Linked DNA regions of Arabidopsis thaliana. The protein of the gene in region 1 purifies or fractionates together with the protein of each later gene. This does not show direct contact. Each region holds a gene or a part of one and is shown in the gene's direction. Other genes may lie near its edges.

The links.
Region 2: the proteins of DRT101 (region 1) and AT4G14930 fractionate together in Arabidopsis thaliana (co-fractionation; one large-scale study listed by BioGRID). This does not show direct contact.

What each region holds. Positions count from the first base shown.
Region 1 is NC_003076.8:5,978,904-5,983,741, forward strand, and holds DRT101 (phosphoglucosamine mutase-like protein), read left to right. Parts: upstream 1-1,865; 5' UTR 1,866-2,213; coding exon 2,214-3,884; 3' UTR 3,885-4,232; downstream 4,233-4,838. Other genes in the region: AT5G18065 (target of trans acting-siR480/255 protein), read left to right, coding at 365-461, 638-921. UniProt on the Arabidopsis thaliana protein: Interconverts GlcNAc-6-P and GlcNAc-1-P.
Region 2 is NC_003075.7:8,536,692-8,542,399, forward strand, and holds AT4G14930 (Survival protein SurE-like phosphatase/nucleotidase), read left to right. Parts: upstream 1-1,894; 5' UTR 1,895-2,139; coding exon 2,140-2,291; intron 2,292-2,570; coding exon 2,571-2,665; intron 2,666-2,786; coding exon 2,787-2,851; intron 2,852-3,074; coding exon 3,075-3,118; intron 3,119-3,453; coding exon 3,454-3,537; intron 3,538-3,727; coding exon 3,728-3,881; intron 3,882-3,979; coding exon 3,980-4,162; intron 4,163-4,254; coding exon 4,255-4,311; coding exon of another isoform or gene 4,312-4,400; coding exon 4,401-4,514; 3' UTR 4,515-5,187; downstream 5,188-5,708. Other genes in the region: AO1 (amine oxidase 1), read left to right, coding at 5,188-5,708.

The sequences.
Region 1 (4,838 bases):
TTTGGATGAATGATACTGAATCCGTTGTTTATGTTAGAGTTAATCTTTGTTAACGGAAGCTATCATCGTTAGTTTTGTTCAGTCTAAAGCTTTTTGTTCGACGATTTTTCCTCTGCAAGTAGAAACTTGAAACCATGTTTATGATTTTAGCTAGTTAGGTCTTGTTTTGTCTTTCCTTTTGCTTTATCTGCTTGATTCTGCTGGATTTTGTAAAGTGGTTATGTTTATGTCAAAAACTGAAACCATGTTTATGCTTTTAGCTAGTTAAGTCTTGTTTTGTTTTTCTTTTTTCTTTATCTGCTTGATTCTTCTGAATGTGTTCTTCTACTGGATTCTACTTCAAACCAGGGATAAGTAATCGAAGATGGATATGAATCAGCTATTCATGCAATCTATTGCAAACAGTCGTGGACTCTGTCATCCAGATTGCGAAAAAGCAAATAATGAGCGTGAAGATTATGGTAAATAATCAAATCTTTAATCTAGAGAAATTTACTTTCTTCGCATCATTTAAAGAAACGGTGATTGATTTTAACTGATTGTTTGCTTCCGTTTTTAATGTAACATGTTCAATCTAATCTTTTGAAAAAATCATATGAATTGACTGCAACGTTTTCATCTTTTTTTTGTCTTCCAGATGCGTCTCAACATGCCGCTATGGTAGCGGTGAATCTGATTAGCTCTGCACGGGTTATCCTCAAGCTTGATGCTGTGTATACTGAGTACTCAGCTCAGTATTTGGTGGATAATGCTGGGAAGGAAGACAACCAGGGAGAAATGGATCAACAAAGCTCTCAGCTCACTCTCCAAAACTTGCTTCAGTATATGGATGAAAATGTCTGGAATAAGAAGGAAGATGTGCAGGGAGAAAGGGAGCAACCACTCACTGTCAAAGACTGCCTTGAATGTGCTTTCAAGTAAGGGCTACCGAGAAGTGAGCAGTGGGCACATGTGGGATGTCCGTTCAAGGCTCCACCATTTGCCTGTCAGATTCCTCGCGTGCCCATGAAAGGAGAAGTGATTGAGACTAAGAGTTTGGATGAAGCGTTTAAGCTGTTGATTAAACAACCGGTGGGAGCAAGACTCCATGTCTTCAGTCCAGAGCTTGATAATGTTGGAGAGGTAATGTGTTGTTAGATAAATTTCGAATTTTCAGAGATCAATGACAAAGTTTTGATCTAATCTTGTTCAACTTTTTTGTTTGTGTGGTAGGGATTTTACGAGGGCCTGTCTAGCCAGTCTAGTAAGGAATCACGCTATGTTGGACTTAGGGATGTAATCATAGTTGCAGTGGATAAGTCCGAGGGAAAAACTGTTGCTACTGTGAAGATCTGTTACAAGAAGAAGACTTCATTTGTCAAAGTGCTTGTGAGCCGTATGTTTGTCCAGCTTGGTGGTGGTGAGGAGTCTCAGGTGAAAGAGCCAGCAGGTCTGCTTGTTGACTTCTGTATCCCACGCTTATCTGTCAACTAAACAAGAGCTGAGATCTTATCTGCTAGTTGTGGAACCTCTCTATGTTGGTCTTATTTTAAGAATGTTTTATCAGACTTATTTTCTGTTATCTTGAAAACCGTATGCTTGTTGTGAAACCCTGGTTGTTGTTTGAAGTTAAGATTGTTTTATGAGACTTTTATCTGTGTGTTTAGAAGTTATTGGTCGCGCTACTTTCTAAATTATGTAGTATCCATCTGCTTAAATGTGACGCCAATTGGGCATTACGCATTCTCCCAAAATCCAAGTCATGATGAAGCTTTTTTTCGTTGAAAAACTTTCTGCGATTAGCATTAACACCATTGTGTCTCACACATAACGTGACAGTCACATTTGAATATTGTAACCTCTTGAACAACTCTTTCCTCGAGGGAAAAGGTTGACCTAACTCGAGCTAAATAACGTTTGATCTATCTTCTTTCTGGATCATCTTCCCTGTAGCGCAGTTACAGAGATGAAGGCATCTTCAGGACAAGGGATCGTTAAGCCACATATCGGATGATCGTACCCAAACACTTCCTCTGATTTACTGAGAAGAGCTTGACATGAAGGCTGGTTCAAGTATGATAGTGGCACCATATATCTCTTCTTCTGGACCTGGTCAAATAAACTAATGTAACAATTACATAGTCAAATAAAAATGCTTCCTTTTATGTCAAAAAAGCTTACTTTACGTTGATTAGCTTCATTTCTCCTCCTTCTCTGTTTCTCTCACAAGTACCATGGACGAGATCCAAATAGCTTCAATCCTCAAATCATCTGAGCTTTTTCCGATTCCACAAGGCGTCAAGCTTTCGTATGGAACAGCTGGATTCAGAGGCGATGCAAAGTTATTGGAATCAACTGTGTATAGAGTTGGGATTCTCTCAGCTCTCCGATCACTTAAGCTTGGATCAGCCACCGTCGGGCTTATGATCACAGCTTCGCATAACAAAGTCTCTGACAATGGCATTAAAGTTTCAGATCCATCTGGTTTTATGCTTTCTCAGGAATGGGAGCCTTTTGCAGATCAGATCGCTAACGCATCTTCTCCTGAAGAACTCGTTTCGTTGATTAGAAAATTCATGGAGAAGGAAGAGATTGCAATCGGAGAGAATAATAAAGGTGCAGAGGTTTGGTTGGGAAGAGATACTAGACCTAGTGGTGAATCACTTCTCAGAGCTGGTGAGATCGGAGTTGGTTCAATTTTGGGATCTGTTGCGATTGACATTGGGATTTTGACAACTCCGCAATTGCATTGGATGGTTAGAGCTAAGAATAAAGGTCTTAAGGCAACTGAGAATGATTACTTTGAGAATCTATCTACTTCGTTTAGGTGTTTGATTGATTTGATTCCAAGCAGTGGAAATGATAAGTTAGAGATTAGCAAATTGCTTGTAGATGGTGCTAATGGTGTAGGTGGACAGAAGATTGAGAAGCTAAGAGGGTCTTTGAGTAATTTAGATGTTGAGATTCGTAACACAGGGAGAGATGGTGGTGTGCTTAATGAAGGTGTAGGTGCTGATTTTGTGCAGAAAGAAAAGGTTTTGCCTGTAGGATTTGGGTTTAAGGATGTTGGGATGAGGTGTGCGAGTTTGGATGGTGATGCAGATCGATTGGTTTACTTTTACATTCCTTCAGATTCTTCTGAAAAGGTTGAGCTACTTGACGGTGATAAGATTCTGTCTTTGTTTGCTCTCTTCATCAAAGAGCAACTAAATGCTCTGGAGGATGATGAAGAAAGGAAGCAGTCTCGTCTTGGTGTTGTGCAGACAGCTTACGCGAATGGTGCGTCTACTGATTACCTAAAGCATTTGGGTTTAGATGTTGTTTTTGCTAAAACTGGAGTTAAGCATTTACACGAGAAAGCAGCAGAGTTTGATATTGGAATCTACTTTGAAGCTAATGGCCACGGGACTATTCTCTTCTCGGAATCTTTCCTATCTTGGTTAGTTTCCAAACAAAAGGATCTTACGGCTAAAGGTCAGGGTGGTTCTGAAGAGCACAAAGCTGTTTCTAGACTAATGGCGGTGAGTAATCTGATTAACCAAGCGGTAGGTGATGCTCTAAGTGGAGTGCTCTTGGTTGAAGTGATTCTACAACACCTGGGATGGTCGATAGAGAAGTGGAATGAGCTATACAAGGACCTTCCTAGCAGGCAGATCAAGGTCGAAGTTCCAGATAGAACAGCGGTTGTGACCACAAGCGAAGAAACCGAGGCTCTGAGACCTATGGGGATTCAAGATGCTATTAATTCTGAAATCAAGAAGTACTCGCGTGGCAGAGCTTTTATAAGGCCATCGGGTACAGAAGATGTGGTGAGAGTATATGCAGAGGCTTCCACTCAAGAAGATGCTGATTCTTTGGCTAATTCTGTGGCTCAGCTCGTCAAAAGCTTCCTTGGTTCAAGCTAAAGAACCATCTGAATTTCTGCAAGAGTATGTTAATGGGAGATTTTTTTAATTTTCTTGTTCACCTCTTAGCTTTTACATCTTTTGTGTAACCCGAATGACAAGTTTTCTTCTCAGCTTCTTTTGATTTACTTCGTTTCTCTTCTAGCTCTTCTGCTTCTTTCTCCTCAACGTAAACCTGTAAATGCTTTACTTTCCTGAAAAGAATCAGCAACGCCATTACTCTTTTTTATTAATGAAGCTCTAAGAACAGAATGTTTCTTCTCCTGAAATTGTGTAAGGGAAAGATAGTTGTTAAGGAATCAGTAGCAGCTACTTTATAGTAAGATCATAACAATGGTGTACTTGAAGAAACGTTATGCCGTAATCTTTGGCTTAAGAGGGAACATAGCTCATGCCTTTTGTTTTCCTGTCCTATCTCTAATCAACTTGGTCTCCGACAGTGACTTCACAACAAACCTACCACAGAATCTTCTTTTACTTACAACTTTCATGTGAGATCCTATTTGTGGGTATGATAAAAGAACAACTTAACCAGTGACAGGGACTTGTTGTTATGTTGTTGAGAAACTTCAGGTCCCCACTTTAAGTTGTTATTAAATCCATTTAGACCAAAGAGATTAGAGAATAGGATCATCACTGAACATGGAGAAGAGAGAAACTTGCTGGCTTTTATTATTGACAATAGCATATGTCATATCTAAAAAACATTGAGAAGACAGTCCCTTGTGAATTGCATATGAAGTTTGTAGTTTAATGTCCCACACACTCCAATAATTATGTCATCAAAACAAATTTCATTAATGCATCTTTCCAAATGGTAAAGACAAAGCCATGTTCTCTGTTTTAGTATGTCCAACGCGTCAAAACCACAAGTTTCAATGATTTTTTCAGAGAAATTTCAACTCCTTAGTTGATCTTGCTATATATATACTCACATAACTCACTCTTTCAATC
Region 2 (5,708 bases), on another chromosome or scaffold:
TGAACCAAAATAACAAAAAAATATTCGAACTCTGAAAAGAAAAATATACTCAAAACATTTTCAATTCTTTGTTATTCAGATATATAGACCAAAACCAAAATTACTTCAAAATTTTTGGTTCCTAATCGGTTCTTGATCTTTCAACTATCAAGAAATGTATATAAAAAGCAAACAAAATTAGACTTGAATTATCGAGATAAGTTCAATAGTTTGGGTGAAAAAAAAAAAGTTCAATAGTAAAAAAAGTTCAATAGTTTTTTTTTTTTTTTTTTTTTTTGATGAAAAAAAAAAAAAGTTCAATAGTTTGGGTAATAAAATCTATATCTATGTGGATGTGATGAAATGACTAACATACTTCAGTTGCATGATCATGATTATGAATATAGATTCACCCATGATATTTATATGCATTTTGCAAGAAGAGTGCATATCACATTACATGTATCAAAAGATTTATAAAAAAATCGTTCACTACATTTTCTTTAAAAATCTCACCCTCAAGTAAAATATTATGTTAAAATTGTCAATCACTTGCATAGAGATAATTGGCGATGAAAGCTTTTTTAAAATGGCGATGAAGTTTGATAAAGGTTCACAGGAAAAATATTACTTGCATAATGTTAATTGATTTCACTTATGAAATAAAAAGAAAATAAGGTCGATTAAGATAATTATATGAACCGAAGAAGAGAATACAAAGGAATGCTTCGGTAAGGGTTTTCGGAATCGAATAAAGGTGACGGTTCGGTCTAAGTGGGTTATTTTAAATGTGGGTGATGGTTCTTGTCCCTTCACGTTTGGGAATAGTGGCCAAACTCGGTCTCTATAGCTGTCCGTAGACGCTCTCTTATCGTCGGATGTGTTTAGGTTTGCATCAAGTCTTCAGAGAAACTGTAAACATCTTTTTGTTATGAGGTTTGAGGGCTGATCATGACTCCGTTTTTATTGTTTTATCTGATAATTTTGTGTAATGTGACATAAATATAAGTCCAATTTTATTGTTTTTGGAAAATGATATAAAAGCGTGCATTTAGATTCTTGGGCCCATCGATGAGTGGATAAGTAATAAAAATTAGTATGGTTTTCTTATTTCCCATGACGTTTTATTTTTCGATCCATTATCAAGCTTAAGATAGGATTGGCCCAACTTTATCGTTGATTTGCAAGCTTCTGTTTTATTATTAGTTGTGACGTTGCTTTCACCAAATTTTTCTATGCAAGTTCAAAATATTGAATGGGAAAATAATTAATGGTAGTATTATACATTATGTAAAATGACTCTAATATGTTCGAAACAAACTTAGACAAAACAACAATAAACCACCATGAATGTAATAACGAATAAATCAAAACCAAACCCATAAAGTATTAATTGACATTGACTTGTTATTGCGACTTGTGTGAAAGTAAATAATACAAAGTTACAAACGGTCGATTGCGGTATGACACGTAGTAACTAGTAAGTCATCTAGAAAACGTTTTCCTCTAGATAGGTTGATGACAAAATTTTAAGGGGACAATAATTTGATGTATCTTTCAACCCCAGTTCAAAAGAGTGTAGGAATAAATGGAAATGTTTTGTTTATACATTGAACTTGACCACTTTGTTGTTGCGTGAAAATGACCACAACCTCTAACAATAAAGTTCTTTTATCTTTATCGTTAGCCGTTACATAAACATGATGATAACACTTAAAATTATTGGATGGGATGTGTACACGAAACATGTGAAAATGGAATAAGATTTTTTTTGAAAGTTATTTTTCTTTTATATTCGCATTATTACAAAAATATATTAGTGAATAATAAATGACTAGATTGACTGTTTCATTTATTTAAAGACAACATTGTGGTCAAGACAACATTGGAAATTACATAATTTAATTCATATAAACAATTTTATGAATATATTAAAATAAAAATAGTTATTATTATTATGAAACATATAATGTATCACTACAGACGATAAAGGATTTGATTTTTTCAAATGGTAAGTTCATAACTTCCCAAATTACTATAAATAAGTGTTAAAGTTAGTCATTATCAAATTAAGCCACTCCACTAATTACAAGCTCCAAAAGCTTTCTCCTTCTTTTTCTCTCTAATCTCTATTTCGTACGGATTTCTCTAACCGGAGCGATGGAGATTGACGGTGGAGATCGTATTTCCGGTGAACGACCGATCATTATGGTCACCAACGACGACGGAATAGACGCGCCTGGCCTTCGTTCTCTTGTTCGTGTCCTCGTCTCCACTAACCTCTACGATGTTCGCGTTTGCGCTCCTGATTCGTACGTTTTACTCTAATTTTTGTAGAAATGTAGCTCAAATCTCCTTTGGTATACGATCGAATCGCTCCTATATGATGGTTATGTACGAATTGAATTTCTCTAGATATCGATTTCGAGTTTCTGGACTCATTTAGAAATGCTAATCGTTTGATATAATCTTCTCGAAGAAATCTATTTATGTGTTTAGTTTTGTACATCAGATTCTTTCTCTTTTCATTGTTTTTGTTTTGCTTTGTGGAGGTACATGTGTAACTCTTACTTGTTTATGAAATTTTCCAGGGAGAAATCTGCTGTTAGTCACAGTATAATATGGAGTAGACCACTCACTGCAAAACGAGTAGAGATCGATGGAGCTACTGCTTATTCTGTTGATGGTTTGTTTCTATTGTTAATCATATGGTGTTGAATGATATGATATTGTTTGGCTTGTTTGTTACATTTGTTGGCTCTTGTCTTTTATCCTTTGGATAACATATGGTTTTGTATGCTCTGAAGGAACTCCTGCGGATTGCACTGGTTTGGGCTTATCGGAAGCACTCTTTCCTTCTCGTCCTGACCTGGTAAACCATATTATTTGTGTGTCCCTGTAAAAGCCTTCTGATGTAATGTTAGTTTTAAATGATGTGCCAATAGATCTTTCGATTTGTTTTTAATAACTTAAACTTCTGCTTAATTTTATAGGAAACATCTAAGATTTGTTGGTCTTTGTAGTGTTTTTTTTTCCTTCTATTGTCTTTTCTGGAGATTGTGAATTTGTGATGTATGATTGTTTTCTCCATGCAGGTTCTGAGTGGTATAAACGTGGGTAGCAACTGCGGTTATAACATGTCGGTGAACATTTCCTCCTCTGTTTCTCTTTGTTTTGGTTTCCTATTTCCTTACTATGTTATGTTTTTGTACAGATTATTAGGGTGCAACTGTTATTTGTCCGTTTTAAAAATTGCATTTTAAACTTTATAAAACTACCAAAATTGCTGAAACTTTGTTTAGGATTAGAACAAGATTTTGAGAGTATAGTAAGAGAAACTCTAGTTAGATTGTTTCACTGGAAACCAGATTTCTTCTATGGCCAATTCAAATTGTTATAGACCATGTTATGCTTCTATGGTTCCTGCCTGAGTTTATCAAACTAGCACTTACCTGGCTGTTAATTCCATCCCAGCGTCTATTCTGGAACTGTTGCTGGCGCTCGTGAAGCCTTCCTTTATGATGTGCCTTCTGCCTCCATATCATATGATTTTGATTGGTAAGAGCTTAATGTCTTACTTGCAGAGATTTTGCGTCTTACTTTTAAAAAGTTTCATAACATGTTTGTTATTTCTTCTATGTTTGTGTTACACTCCTAATTTTTTTTAAGCCTCCATACGGTTTTATTGATACCATCTTCTCTTTTTGCCACTAAATGTCTTCTATTTTATTCACCCTTAATGCTATAGGAAACGTGGAGAGATGAATGCTAATGATTTTGCCCTTTCTGCCCAAGCCTGCTTGCCCATTATCAACGGCATACTCGGTGCAATCAAGAACAAAACTCACCCTATGCAATGCTTTCTGAATATCGATTTGCCGACTGATATTGCTAACCACAAGGTAAGTCTCGTCGCAGCTTTCAACAGACATTCTCTAATGCCTACACCTAACTATACCTCTGAGTTTTATATGACTGACTCTTCTTTCCAAATAAAAAGGGATACAAACTAACTAGACAAGGTAAAAGCATGGGTAAAATGGGATGGAGACAAGTGGAAGAGGAAGCACAAGGGCCGAAGATGTTATCAACAATGACAATGGATACAGAGTCAGGAGTAGTCTCATCAGAGAACGACACATCTGCTCATGCGGGAAAAGATAGCCGTTTATTCAAAAGAGAGGTATATCATTAATGATTAATCACTATTGTTTCTGCTCTTACTTTCTTTTGAATTCATGAAATTGTGTACCTTCTTGCTCTGTTTGTTGTTAGTTAAGGGCAAGCATCAGTGAAGAAGGGAGTGATTCTCATTACCTAAAAGAAGGATTTGTAAGCATATCTCCCATAGTTGTCTCTTTAACTCATCTCCACTCATCCAAACTTCAAAAAGAAACAAACATTCTTTTAAAATACTGCAGATTACGGTGACGCCGCTTGGAGCTCTATCTCAGACTGATGTGGATTGCCAAAACTACTACAAAGAATGGCTTCCCAAGATTACAAACCAGTCATGCTCCTCCTCATCCCTTTGATGCTACAACATGAGAGAAAATAAAAACTCTATTAGGAAATTACCCATTGTGGACCACAATTTGTGGTAGACCTATTATTATATCAGTACCAGTTCTTTAGTTTTCTTAAGTCTTGACTTACTATTGTTGTGAGCAGCAAAATAGTTGTTGTTACAAGTCCATTAATTATCGTGAGCAGCAAAATAGATATCGAGTCCGCGACATATGTTGAAATATCAAGGATTCTTAACAAAAGCGATCAATCCATTTGAATATAATTTGTGCATTAGAGAATTGAGTTAACGTAAACAAAGTTCAAGCGCTGGCGGCAGAACCTGATATTGCAGTAACATCATCATGTGTGCAAGTGGGGGATTAGTAATCTTCATCTTGCATAATCCTTGTTTTATACTTCAAGCTATGACCTATATATTTATTATTTATACATCCGATTCGAATATTAAGTTTGCTCCCGTGAATTAGAAGGAAGAGTACATAATATGTCACGTGATAATTATTTTTCATCTTTACGTTTCTCATATGGTTCTCATTCAACGACTTTCCAAGTCGGACTATATATGTTTTTAATTATTAATCATATATAGAGACGCTCCTACAAAACACATAAACATATAGGTGCATGCATATAAATGTAAATGTATTGTTGTCGTCTACTTCAATAACAACTCCATCAATGAACACATCAATACTTGCCATACTTTTTCTCATACAATGTGTTTTCACTCTTGGTCTCCATTTCCACCCACTTGATCCCTTAACTCCCCAAGAAATCAACAAAACAAGCTTTATCGTCAAGAAATCTCATCTAGGCAACCTCAAAGATCTCACATTTCATTATCTCGACCTCGAAGAACCAAACAAGAGCCACGTCCTCCAATGGCTATCACCAAATCCCTCCAAGAAACCACCACCCCCACGTCGTCGCTCATTCGTCGTGGTTCGAGCCGGTGGTCAAACCTACGAGCTCATCATCGACCTAACCACGAGCAAGATTGCATCCTCCCGCATCTACACAGGCCATGGTTTCCCCTCATTCACATTCATAGAGCTTTTCAAAGCAAGCAAGCTTCCTCTAACTTACCCACCTTTCAAGAAATCGATTCTCGATCGATCCCTAAACATCTCCGAGGTTTCTTGCATCCCTTTCACCGTTGGTTGGTACGGAGAAACCACCACGAGACGTGAACTCAAAGC